3 linked regions of the Canis lupus familiaris genome follow. The protein of the gene in region 1 purifies or fractionates together with the protein of each later gene. This does not show direct contact. Links are inferred from orthologs where the notes say so. Each region holds a gene or a part of one and is shown on either strand. Other genes may lie near its edges. The genes, in order: DDX39A, THOC1 and API5.

Region 1 (4,141 bases):
TGGGCCCAAGCCAATAAAAGTAGAGCTGAGATGGTAAAGAGAATACAAAACTTGCTCACCTCCTGGCTTTATTTAATCCAATACATGCACAGCACCTACTGGATGTAAGCTACAAGGGACCCAAAAGTGAGATTATGGTCTTTTGTCCTCCCAACCCCACCCCAGCCTCCAAATCCAGAGCAAGGAAGTGGTGAAGCAGTCCCTCTTCTTCCTGAGCTGGATGTGGAGGGTCCTGGGCCCACTTTTTGGTCCTCCCTCTCTCATTCTCTCTGCGCCTTCATCCAGCCCCAGGGCTTTAATCACATCTGTGTGGAGAGGTCCCAAACTTATGTCTCTGGCCATAAGTTACCCAGATCCCCTCAACAACAGCCTGGTTACCCAGATGCCTCATTTACATCTCCCCTTGGAAGCTGGACTCAAAAGACCCAGAGCAAAACCCTCTGTTTCTTTTTTTTCCTTTATTTATTTATGATAGTCACACAGAGAGAGAGAGAGAGAGAGAGAGAGGCAGAGACACAGGCAGAGGGAGAAGCAGGCTCCATGCACCGGGAGCCCGACGTGGGATTCGATCCCGGGTCTCCAGGATCACGCCCTGGGCCAAAGGCAGGCGCCAAACCCCTGCGCCACCCAGGGGTCCCCCCTCTGTTTCTTCCTGCAGACCTGCTTCTCAAAAAAGGCAATTCCATTCTCTCACTGGCTTTTTCTCTCCTCCAGTCCAGTCAGCCCAACAGGACAATCAGGTCACCTCTCACCCCTGCCACCTCACTGGTCTCAAGCTACCTCTACCGTTCTTTCTTTTTATATATAAATAATCTCTATACCCAACACAGGGCTCCAACTCTGGACCCCAAGATCAAGAGTCATGTGCTCTTCTGAATGAGCCAGCCAGGTGCCCCTTCACCTTTCTTTTAAAATTAGAAGTTTTACTGAGATATTCACAAGCCTACTATTCACTCCTTAAAATGTACATACAGTTCACTGGTTTTCAATATTTTTAGAACGGTCAGAACTATGTGGAATGACCACTGCAGCTGGAGTGCATCACACATTTCGGTCAGGTCAAAAAGACCGGGACCCTTTACCTGTCTTCCCTCCCACCCCCACCCCGTTGGCAACAGCTAACCTACTTTGTTTTCTATGAATCTGCTGGTTTTGGACAGCTCATAAATGGAATCATACAATATGCCACCATTCATACAGCTTCTTTTACTTGGCATGTTTTGACATTCATCTGCTCACTGTGTGGTTTGCATCCGTACCTCATTCCTTGTCAGAGTTGAACATTCCCCTGTACAGGCATACCAGTTTATCCACGGTCAGTTGATGATTTGAGCTCCATCACCCTGTGCCTGGATTATGGGAATAGTCTCCTCATTGGTCTTCCCCTTTTCCATCCCCTTCCATCTTCTCTCCCCAAAGTGTAAAAGTTACATCAGAGAATGTCACCCCTCTGTTCAAAACCCTCCACAAGCTCCCACTGTGCTCAGAACACTCAGGAATCCTCACCATGACCCATCAGACCCTACATGAACCGACCGCCCCTCTACACTCAAACCTCACTTCCTCCATTGCCCTCACTCACTGGCCTTGTTGCTGTGCCTCAAACATGCCTCAGCACCTTTGTACCTGCTGTTTCTGCTGCCCAAAGTGGTCAGGATTCCCCTCACTTCCGTCAGGCCTCTGACTCCAGGACATCTCTTGCCAGCCCCGAGTAGAAAAGCACCCTCTTAAAAGTCAGGCCTGCCAGCCCAGAGCCTAAAGCACTCAACAGCAATAGCTGAATGAATAGAATTAGAATTCAGGTTTCAAGGCAAGGTTAGGGGCTAAAGCAAGCATATATCCTTAACTGATTCTTGAAAAAAGTAATCTGAACAGGGAGGGGTTATTTCTCAGGTAGCAGAGAAAAGAACAGGAGCTAGGAAAGGTCAGCCCCAAAGAAAGTACCAGGCCCTTGTGAGGAATGGAGAGCAAGACTGGCTGGCTGAAGCAGAGGTAGAGGACAAACTTGGGAAAGCTGATCAAGTCGAGGGCATTCACGCTTTATTCCCTAATAGGGAATCACTGATGAGATTATTTTTCACTGATGAGATTTTTTGAGTTGCGTGACTCAATTGCCCCAAGCAATTTACTCCAAGAGTAGAAAGATGAGTGCGGGCGAGAACAGCAACAGGGAAAACCAGTCACTAAGAATTAACCACAGTGGGGGTGTTATGAGGGAAGAATAAGGTGGATCATTCAACAGGGCAGGGCCACCTCTGGGGTAATCCCTGGGCAGAGAAAGCCTAGTCACCTACTCTGTTAAACCCGGGTGCCCCAAGAGGTGATGGTGCATTTTAGAGAAAAATACAGGTCAAAAGAAGGCGTTTTGTTATTTAGGGGGGCGATATTAAGGGGCGGCCCGAGTTTGACGAACAAGATTTTCTTGGAAGTGGCTACACAAAAATCTAAAGCTCAAAACAAATTGGAGGAGGAGAGGACGGTGGGGGTTAGTCCCACCCAGCGGGGGTGGCTGCGACGGCTGAGGCCCCCGGAGCAGACCAACTGGAAGGCTGACGCCCGAGAAGTGTCAATCCAGACACGCCCACGGGTACCCATTCCCTCTCAAAGTGCCTCCAGGGAAGACTTCCACCTCGGAGTCGGCCTCTGAGACATCTTTTCTGCTCTAAATCTCTGGAACCCCGAATTCCCTAAACACAGAGCAAGAACACAACAGAGTCCCCTGTCGTGGCTACAAGCTCGGGTTCCTCCCACCGCAACCCCAGGCCCTGGCGTCACCCCCCACACACACACCCACACCCCGAATCCCTCCCCAAACGGCCTAGGCAGTCTCCTCGAGCAGAGAGGATTCCTCGCCAAGTCGGGGTCGACCCGCGGGCCGCCATGACAGCCCCACTCCCGGAAGCGGGATGACTCCCCGCGCGCCAACAGCCACCGGCGCCCCCCCCCCGGGCCGCGCATGCGCCGTGGCGTTCAACGGCTGCTGCCGCGCGCGGCTGACGCCCAAACCGCTCCGCCCCCCCACCACTCGTCTCGCGCCCCCTCCTCTTCCTCTTCCCCTCAACCCCCGGCGTCTCCCCTCGCCCGCTCGCCCGCAGGTCCGAAGTCTCCGCACCGCGCCCCCGCGCCCCAGACCCACCGCTCACCTGCTTCCCCGTTCGCCTCCGCGTGCTGCTGCGAGGAAAGCCGTCCGACTCTGGTTACCGGCCGCGCGCCCCGACACGAGTTGCAGCGCTTCCTGCCTCCTACGTCGGACTGCGGGTCTGCTCACTGGACGGCTGGCTTTTCACTCAAGAGAGGCGGAAGCGGTGATTGGGTCCTGCAGGAGGCGTCTGGAGGCTATTGGTGAAAGCAGCAAACGGGGCGTGCCCCATGCCTCGGATTCATTGGTCAATCTAAAAGTAGGCGCCCTGGGCTGAGGCCGACGTGAGCCCGTGCGCTGCCACGCGATTGGCGGTTTGCCCTTGGTGGGCGTCGCCATGTTTAGTACTGGCAGCCGAAGCCGGGGAGGATTTACCCTGTGCGAGTATCTCGCGTTGCTGTTGCGTGGCTCCTACGCCTGGCTGTGGAATTCAGGGCTTTGGAAGGGAGCATCAACCCGCGGTGGCCTCTCGGTTCTCCAGGGTGGGGGCTCTGAAGGAGTCCTGAAAAGGATCGGAGACCGGAATGACTCCAGCGTGGAGGGGACGGTTTGCGCCGGCTGTGCCAGCTCCCCTTTGCTGAGAGTCTCGTCCTGAGTCAAATCGTGTGCAGGTGGCCATCCAGGCTCAGGCCACAAAACCCAAACCAGAAGGGTTTTCGTTATAAAGCTTTTTTTTTTTTTTTTTTTTTAAATTTTACTTTTCCCCTTGTATTACATTTTCCCAACTTTACCCACGTCCCATTGTCTCCCCTACCCCCGGTACTTTACTAAGGTAAATGTTATAGTAAAAAGAAAAAGTACACGGAGTTTTGAAGATTGACAGGCAAGTGACAGTTGCCCAGGGAAAATATAGAACATTTCCATCCCCGCAGAAAGTCCTGTTGTGCCCCTCTCTGGTGAACCGCACCCCTTCCCCCTAACCAGGCAAAAGACGATGTAGATTTCTATAATTCTGATCTTGAATTTCATATAAACAGAATCCTGCAATAGATTGTCGTTTGT
Region 2 (4,246 bases), on another chromosome or scaffold:
TGTTGTTGAGGGCCTCTCTGGTAGACTTCTAGAAAAATAAAAATAGCATGTAAGTGGAAAGATTTTTGCCTATTGTTTACTGAAAAACATCACTCATCAACAGTATATTTAACTAGAAACACTTACACTTGGGAAAAACTATCAGTCATTCCATCAATAATTCTTATTCAAATGCCACTTAATGATGCAAACTCTAATCACTTTAAATTTGACAAGAGCTTACCAACTAGACTTTCTTATTCCAGGCTTTCCCTCCTTACCATTTCTTTACATATCACATTCATGAGAGTATTCTACTTTTTTTTTTTTTCTAAATCTCCAAATGGCTCCTTATTTACAGGCTTTGGTTTTAAAATTTCACAGCTCCCTCTCAAGGTCCTTGATGCTATCACCTTCAATCTATCCAATCTTATTTCCCACTACCATCTAACATACAGTTTCCACTAAGGTCTAGACATTTTTTCATTATTTTCTACCAAGCTCACTCTAGTGTATTCATTCACTGTTATTCCCACCTGCTCATGCAAATCCTATCCATTCTTCAAGACCCATCTCAAGTCCCATCTTCTCTAGTTTTGCTCAGCCCAAGTCTCTAACACACAGTCAACACTGAATACCTGCTAATTGTCTTAGTCATAAATGAAAGTCAAGATAATAAAAAGGGGATTCTGACTCAGTAGCTAGACCATGTAACTTCTGACATCCGGGTTGTAAGTCAAGCCCTACTTTAGGTGTAGAAATTATTTAAAAATAAAACCTTAAAAAAAAAAGAAATATGAAAGACAAAAATACTGCAAAGTCTTTCATTCTGTAGAAACTCACATACACTTGGAAAGTTATCTCACTACCCCCAGGAATTCGATTTACACTGGAAATGTCCGTTCCTGACTCTGCCAAGAGTAGACTGTATAATCCTCGGCATATGCCAAGAGTAGACTGTATAATCCTCGGCATATCTCCTTATCTCTTTGTGCTTCAATTTCTTTACCAGTTAAATAAGGGGGCTGTCGGGCAGCCCTGGTGGCCCAGCAGTTTGGCGCTGCCTTCAGCCCAGGGCCTGATCTTGGAGACCCTGGATCGAGTCCCACTGCCGGCTCCCTGCATGGAGCCTGCTTTTCCTTCTGCCTGTGTCTCTGCACCCCTCCTCCCGCCCCCACCCCGTGCCTCTTATAAATAAATAAATAAATAAATAAATAAATAAATAAATAAATAAATAAATAAGCAAGCAAGCTGTTGTAGATGCCTGGGAACTTAGAAATACAGACTTTCAGGCTCTATTTCAGACCTACTACACCAGAATCTACATTTAACAAGATCTCCAGGTGATTCCACTGTACATTACACCTTAAGAAGCACGGGACTAGATGATCTCAAATTAAATGGTCCCCTCCAGGACTAGTATATTCGGTATTTCTTTTTTTTTTTTTTTTAGATTTTATTTATTTATTCATGAGAGACACAGAGAGAGGGGCAGAGACACAGGCAGAGAGAGAAACAGGCTCCTCACAGGGAGTCCAATGTAGGACTCGATCCCAAACGCGGGGATCACGCCCTGAGCCGAAGGCAGACGCTCAACCGCTGAGCCACCCAGGTGTCCCCATATTGGATATTTCTAACAATTACTCTTAGCAGAATTTCAGAGCACCAGGGATTGCAGAAAAATACACAGAAAGAAAACGATTCTGAAGACATAAACGAGATATTACTTGGTTAACAAACGAACGCTCTTTGCATGGGATAAAAAAATAATGTGCACACAAGAAAACTCTTTATTCTGGCGTCACTAAAACTAGGTAAGCACAGTTAACTATTCAAGTAGTTGAATCATAACTTGAAATATTGGCGCAAATGCTAAAAACAAATACAGGCAAGCAACTCAGAACAGGGTTCTTCATGCTCTGATGGGCAACGTAAAATGAACACTGGGTCTGACGTCAGAAACACGAGCGAAGTACATCACCTTACTTTTTTTGGGGGGAGGGGGTGTGATCTCAATTTCCAGCTCATCTACCAGGCTTTAATAGAACTTTGCCTACTTCACAGTGCTATTCAAAGAGTTAAATACGCTAACATGAAAACGCTCTGTAAGGCTTTCCCCAAATGCTCAAACTACTCTTCCAAACTGTGTAAGTATAAAATGACATCCAGCAACAATCCCCAAGCTGATCTCTCTGCCTTTTCCTACTTAGGATCTCGTTAATCTCTTGGGAGCGAGATACGGAAGGCTAAAGGCTGGTGAATAAGCGACCGAGATCCACGACTTGGCAGCTGAGGAGGCGGAGCGCGAGCCAGTCCCCTGGGCTAAGATCACTCCCGCCCTCACCCGTAAGCAATTTTGGAGACACCTGTCCGGCTAAGCGAGCACTGCGGAAGAGCTCGACCGCACCGGAGGTCGTGTGCGGATGAGCCCTCCACGCGGGGCACAAAGGCGCCCAGACCGCGAGGTTCAGAGACCTGCCGACAGGAGGACGGAGGCGGACAGCACGGGACGCACGGAAGAGACAAGTAATGCGTCTTTCCCACCTCCCCGCCCCCGACGGGGCCGGGAGCCGACACCGCGGGGCACACACCTCAGTTCCCGCCTTACTCCAGGGCAAAATTCGAGTATTTTCTGGGAGAGGAGGAAAAAGATAGAGCCAGGTCAGAGCCGCACCCTCCCACAGCCCACTAACCGTGAACCGCGTCCGCGCTTCGGGCAAACTGAAGAGCGGCGGCGTCGGAGACATCTTCCCGGCTGCGCGTGCCCGCCACCGCGCTGCGGCGCCCGCCGATGACGTCAGGCGGGAGCAGCGAGATCGCGCTGTCCGAGCGCGGCTAGAGCGGCCTGTGAGCCGAGGGCTAGGCCCGCTGGCGGCCGGGAGCCTCGCTGGTGACAGTTCGGCCGGCCGTTGGCGGGGCTGAGTCAGCCACAGCGTGCTCGGTCCGGATTCGTGGAGCGCCCTCGGGGTGACGGCATAGGGGCGTCCTGGCCCTGTCGGCGTGGTGCTGCCTGGCGGGGACTAGGCCCTCGCGCGCACCTGCGGTGATTTTCCGGCTCTGGGGAAGCTGGGCGAATGGCGGCCAGTCAGGCTTACTGAGTCGCGCGGGAAGGTCACCTCGGCCTGGGAATCCAGGGCAGGTGGGTCATCCGGGGGTGCCCCTGGCGGGTGAAGTGGGGGCGGTGCCTGTGAGCCCCGGACGGCAGTCATTCTCGCCGAGGGAGTGCTCTTAGCTGCTGCCTTGCTGAGTAGTTAGTCCACGGACCCTGTAGCTTAGGAGCAGTTCCCTCTTCCGTGAAGTAGAAATAATGCCCGTTTTACAGGACTGTGGAAAAGCACAAATGAAATAATGAAAGCAAATGTGGCTTCTATGGGACTAGGAGTATCATTGTCAGTTTTTTTTTTTTTTTTAAGATCTTACTTGTTTATTCATGAGAGACCCAGGCAGAGGGAGAAGCAGGCTCCACGAAGGGAGCCCGACGTGGGACTCGATCCCGGGACTCCAGGATCACGCCCTGGGCTGACGGCGGCGCTAAACCGCTGAGCCACCCGGGCCGCCCCTCCTTGTCAGTCAGTATCTTAGTGTCCGTTGACTTTTCTGCATAGAGAGGCCTCTGCCGAGAATTTGCAGTTCTCGGCGCTCATTTGCAAACGGGCGGCACCCGTTACAAAAAACGCTTTCTCCTCAGCAGTTTCCTCCCCTGTCGCCTCACTGGAGAGGCGTGGCCAGGGAGACGCCAAGCGGCACTAACTTTGTCGGTTGGAATCATGCTGCGGAGAAAGCAGCACCGACCGGAACACTCAGTACTGTTCCCTCCCATGTATACCTTCTCCCTTCATTGGCATCTAATAAGAATACAGGAAGCTTAACCAAAAGATAACTTTGCATAGTTTTGCCCATAAGTTGGAATTGTCAGACAGTGGTGGCTACCTGAAGCATTACAATCTTGTTTAGGAATCAACTGAATCATTCAAGTTTGAGTGTATGACTTAAATTCCAAATCGGCTGGAAAAAAACAAAAACAAAAACAACAAAACCCAAACCTGGTATTAACTGATTTAATAGGTAGCTGATGTAATAAGATTATTATTATATTACAGATTATTATTAACTGGAGCACAGCTAAGACCTAAGAAGTAAATAATTTTTCTGGGGACGCCTGGGTGGCTCAGGGCTCCGGAATTGAGTCCCACGTTGGGCTTCCTCACGGGGAGCCTGCTTCTCCCTCTGCCATGTCTCCGCCTCTCTGTCTGTGTGTCTCTCATGA
Region 3 (3,591 bases), on another chromosome or scaffold:
TATGTGAAAGAATATCCCCGCCTTTTTTGACAACTCATTGTTCTTTGGATTTTTACAGAAAAATGTGCATTCCACAAGGTTTGTGACTTACTTCTGTGAGCAGGTTCTTCCCAACCTCAGTTCCTTGACTACCCCAGTGGAGGGTCTTGATATACAGTTGGAGGTAAGAGAAAAATGTCTTCTTTAGTACTAAAAAGGCATTCCCATATTTTAACATAAATATAAGCCACTAAGGTAGAGACCTGATTTCTAAGAGAGTAAAGGTGTTAGAGCTAGCTAGTAATCTGTCTCAGGGTTAATCACATAGGAATGCTTTATGAATTTAATGAAAGTTTGTTGCATTGGGAAAGCACTGCCTGTAGTGTTCATGATTCTCTTACTCTTTGTAGCTTTAATACTTTTAAATAAGGTGCTTAATTCATGACTGTTCCTATCTCTATCCATAATTGATAGAATCAGATTTAAACTGGCTTAACACAAAATATCCTTTATCCCTACTCCAGTATAGTTGATGACTCTCTCCCTTGTATCTGAACTATAGTGTACATATACTTTTTTTCCACAGCACATGTAACACTTCACATTTATCTCACATTTAACTGACTCATCTCCATAGCCCCAGAGTCTAGTGCAGAGTCTGATTCTGAAAGGCACTTAATAATGATTGTTGAATTGAGCTGAAATGTGGAAATGTATGTGCCATTTTCTCATAGGTTTTTGGAATACACAAGAGTCCCACTGTGTACGGACACTGTCATTTGCTTCAGATGTCCTGGGTTTGGCTTATTAGACTGGGATTGAGTAAAGGAGAGATGGACCTCAAGAATACTTGCAATTACCAATACTTTGAGTTAGTGTCCAGAGACTAACTTTAATAGCAAATGAAGCCCATTCTAAATGTAAATAATTCTTTGCTGTTAAGAGTTTTCCTAAGTGTCTCTTCATAGTACAATATTAAGCTGTAGCAAAAGTCTTAAAAAGTTACCTAGAATCATTATTTTACAGCCCTTGCTCATTCAAAAAAAATGCTATTAACAGTGAATTCTGTATTTTAGGTATTGAAACTCTTGGCAGAAATGAGTTCATTTTGTGGTGACATGGAAAAGCTAGAAACAAATTTAAGGAAACTATTTGACAAGTTATTGGTAAGGACTTTTTTTCTTTTCTTATGGCATAGTCAGTGTGTAATCCCAGAGTCTAATAGTGTGGTGTAATTTCTAGAGAACCAACTTTTGAAATTCAGATTGGGTAGAGTAATTAGAATGATTCTAGCAGGTGTTTTTAGTTGTTCGGGCCACATGTTCTCTACTTTTAAAAGAAAATCTTTGGCATTTCTTTTGTTGATGCTTTGCATAAAAGATAACAGGGTTTTTATAGTAGATCTTTTTGGTATTCCTTTATCAAAATATTTTTCACATTTGCTCCAGGTTGCTGCACAAGGCCAAGTAGCTATAGCTGCTAGGAAATAAAGTCATTCAAGTCATAATTTTGGAGAAAATAGGCCATCTGCTAAAATCATTTTCAACATCACCAAGTGATTTCCTTGTTGGATGTAAGCAGTTGTATACCTGACACAATGAGTGATAAGCATTAGACCTATAATGTGATAAAGGGAGTCATCCAGCATCTGGAGCTCTTCCAGACATGTAACGCCTACCAGGGGCTCGCAGCACTGGTATCGAATGCGTTTGGCAGTACTTGTAACGTAATGAGAGTCAAACAATGTAGGAAAATGTTCATAAAACATTTTTGGAATTACCTTAATAAAATGGTTAAAAGCATCAGCTTTTGGTGGCAAATCTAGATTGAATCCTGATTCTTCAGCTTACTGTTTCACCATAGAAAAATTACAGGGGTGCCTGGGTGGTTCAGTGGTTGAGCACCTGCCTTTGGCTCAGGGCATGACCCCGGGGTCCCAGGATCGAGTCCCATGTCGGGCTCCCTGCAGAGAGCCTGCTTCTCCCTCTGCCTGTGTCTCTACCTCTTTCTGTGTCTCTCATGAAGAAATAAATAAAATGTTTAAAAAAAAATTACCTACACTCAGAACTTCAGTTACTTCATTTGTATAAGTGTTTAATAAAGGTTATCTACTTCACTGTCAGTAATAATAGTAGTAATGGTGGTGGTGGTGGTAGCAGCAGCTATCTAATGTGGAGGAGGCTAGATCATTGATCCAAAAAGTAGAAGGGATAGCTTACCTAAATTTCTGATTTTGGTAGTTTTTAATGCTTCATGCCTTAAAAGCATGCCCTGCAGTTACTTCAGTGTATGTTTATAATTAGAGCATTTATAGCAGATTGCAAATATCTCTATATTTTTATCTCTTAGGAGTACATGCCTCTCCCTCCAGAAGAAGCAGAAAATGGGGAGAATGCTGGTAATGAAGAACCCAAGCTGCAGTTCAGCTATGTGGAATGTTTGTTGTACAGCTTCCACCAGCTGGGCAGAAAACTTCCAGATTTTTTAACAGCCAAGCTAAATGCAGAAAAACTGAAAGATTTTAAAATTAGGTGATGTATAATTGAAGTGGTCCGATCGTTGGCAAAGATGATGGTTATCTTGATATTCCCTTGGTTTTCTTTTCCTTTTACAAGAGCTGTCTCCCAACCCTGCCTTACCCCGTGGGACAAAATGGAACACCCTCAAACAGGAATGTATATAAACCTGTGGCATAACAAATCCAGGTCAGGGAAGGAACTTTTTCAAAAACAGACTCACTCTCCTCACTTGCTTTATAATCTTGAGCAGGTTCCCAACCTCTCTAACTTCCAGCAGTTACTTAATGATAACAGCACCTGCCTCATTGAGCACAGTGCCTGGCACATCGTGGATACTCTGTAAACTCGTGGTTAATGTCTTAGAGTGTTCTAGAGGAGCAACACTAGAGAAATCATACGTTATTTTCATGAACACATTTCATATTGAATCATTTTATTAACAACTTCACATCTTAAACTTTGAAATGGTTGGCCACTTGCATCATCTGTTACCATCCTCTACTCTTTGGTAAGACAATGGTTTAATACTTGGTAAAACATTTGATCAGAAGCAGCAAGTTAAGAAATTACTCCAAAAATTAAAAAATGATGCCAGGTTATTAAGCAGAGTTTCCTGGAAGGCTATATACTGCCTTGACTTGAAAAAAGTATTACTTTGAAGTCTTTGAGATTTATATGTGTTTATAATAAATTCTCCAATCTGCGGTTTGGTTTTATTTTTAACTAGACCTTGAGGGTCAAACACATCCCTTGTTAGCAGATAAATACATAGAGGTTAAAGTGACTTGTCTAAGGTCACTTGACCTTCAGTTGGCCACTGAAAGAGTAGAACCCAGGCCACCTGATTCTTATCCGTGGCTCCTGAAGTTGGTTCACTCTGACCATGCCTTGCATTTTGACATAACAAGAACAGTGTTACAAATCTTTCCCTGGCCAGGTTGAGTATGGATTTACTCGCATTTTTGGTAAAGGAAAACTGCTTTTATTTCACTTATTTATGTATCTCTTGTGATCATATATTGATAATTTTTAAAATTCCTTTAAAAATTATCTTTACTAGTTAAGAACATTTAGCTGTAGTAGAAGATTCTCT

What was found.
Region 2: the proteins of DDX39A (region 1) and THOC1 purify together in Homo sapiens (affinity purification with mass spectrometry; 3 studies listed by BioGRID and IntAct, with this or other methods). This does not show direct contact. The link is inferred for Canis lupus familiaris from reciprocal best matches to the Homo sapiens genes DDX39A and THOC1.
Region 3: the proteins of DDX39A (region 1) and API5 fractionate together in Homo sapiens (co-fractionation; 3 studies listed by BioGRID, with this or other methods). This does not show direct contact. The link is inferred for Canis lupus familiaris from reciprocal best matches to the Homo sapiens genes DDX39A and API5.

The regions. Positions count from the first base shown.
Region 1 is NC_049241.1:48,594,810-48,598,950, reverse strand, and holds the start of DDX39A (ATP-dependent RNA helicase DDX39A), read right to left. Parts: upstream 2,809-4,141; 5' UTR 2,791-2,808; intron 2,742-2,790; exon of another isoform or gene 1,778-2,741; 5' UTR 1,627-1,777; intron 1,350-1,626; 5' UTR 1,265-1,349; coding exon 1,260-1,264; intron 1-1,259. UniProt on the Homo sapiens protein: Helicase that plays an essential role in mRNA export and is involved in multiple steps in RNA metabolism including alternative splicing. Regulates nuclear mRNA export to the cytoplasm through association with ECD.
Region 2 is NC_049228.1:67,189,847-67,194,092, forward strand, and holds the start of THOC1 (THO complex subunit 1), read right to left. Parts: upstream 2,821-4,246; 5' UTR 2,727-2,820; coding exon 2,673-2,726; intron 29-2,672; coding exon 1-28. UniProt on the Homo sapiens protein: Component of the THO subcomplex of the TREX complex which is thought to couple mRNA transcription, processing and nuclear export, and which specifically associates with spliced mRNA and not with unspliced pre-mRNA.
Region 3 is NC_049239.1:26,730,665-26,734,255, reverse strand, and holds part of API5 (apoptosis inhibitor 5), read left to right. Parts: intron 1-58; coding exon 59-163; intron 164-1,055; coding exon 1,056-1,145; intron 1,146-2,328; coding exon 2,329-2,510; intron 2,511-2,967; exon of another isoform or gene 2,968-3,591. UniProt on the Homo sapiens protein: Antiapoptotic factor that may have a role in protein assembly. Negatively regulates ACIN1. By binding to ACIN1, it suppresses ACIN1 cleavage from CASP3 and ACIN1-mediated DNA fragmentation. Also known to efficiently suppress E2F1-induced apoptosis.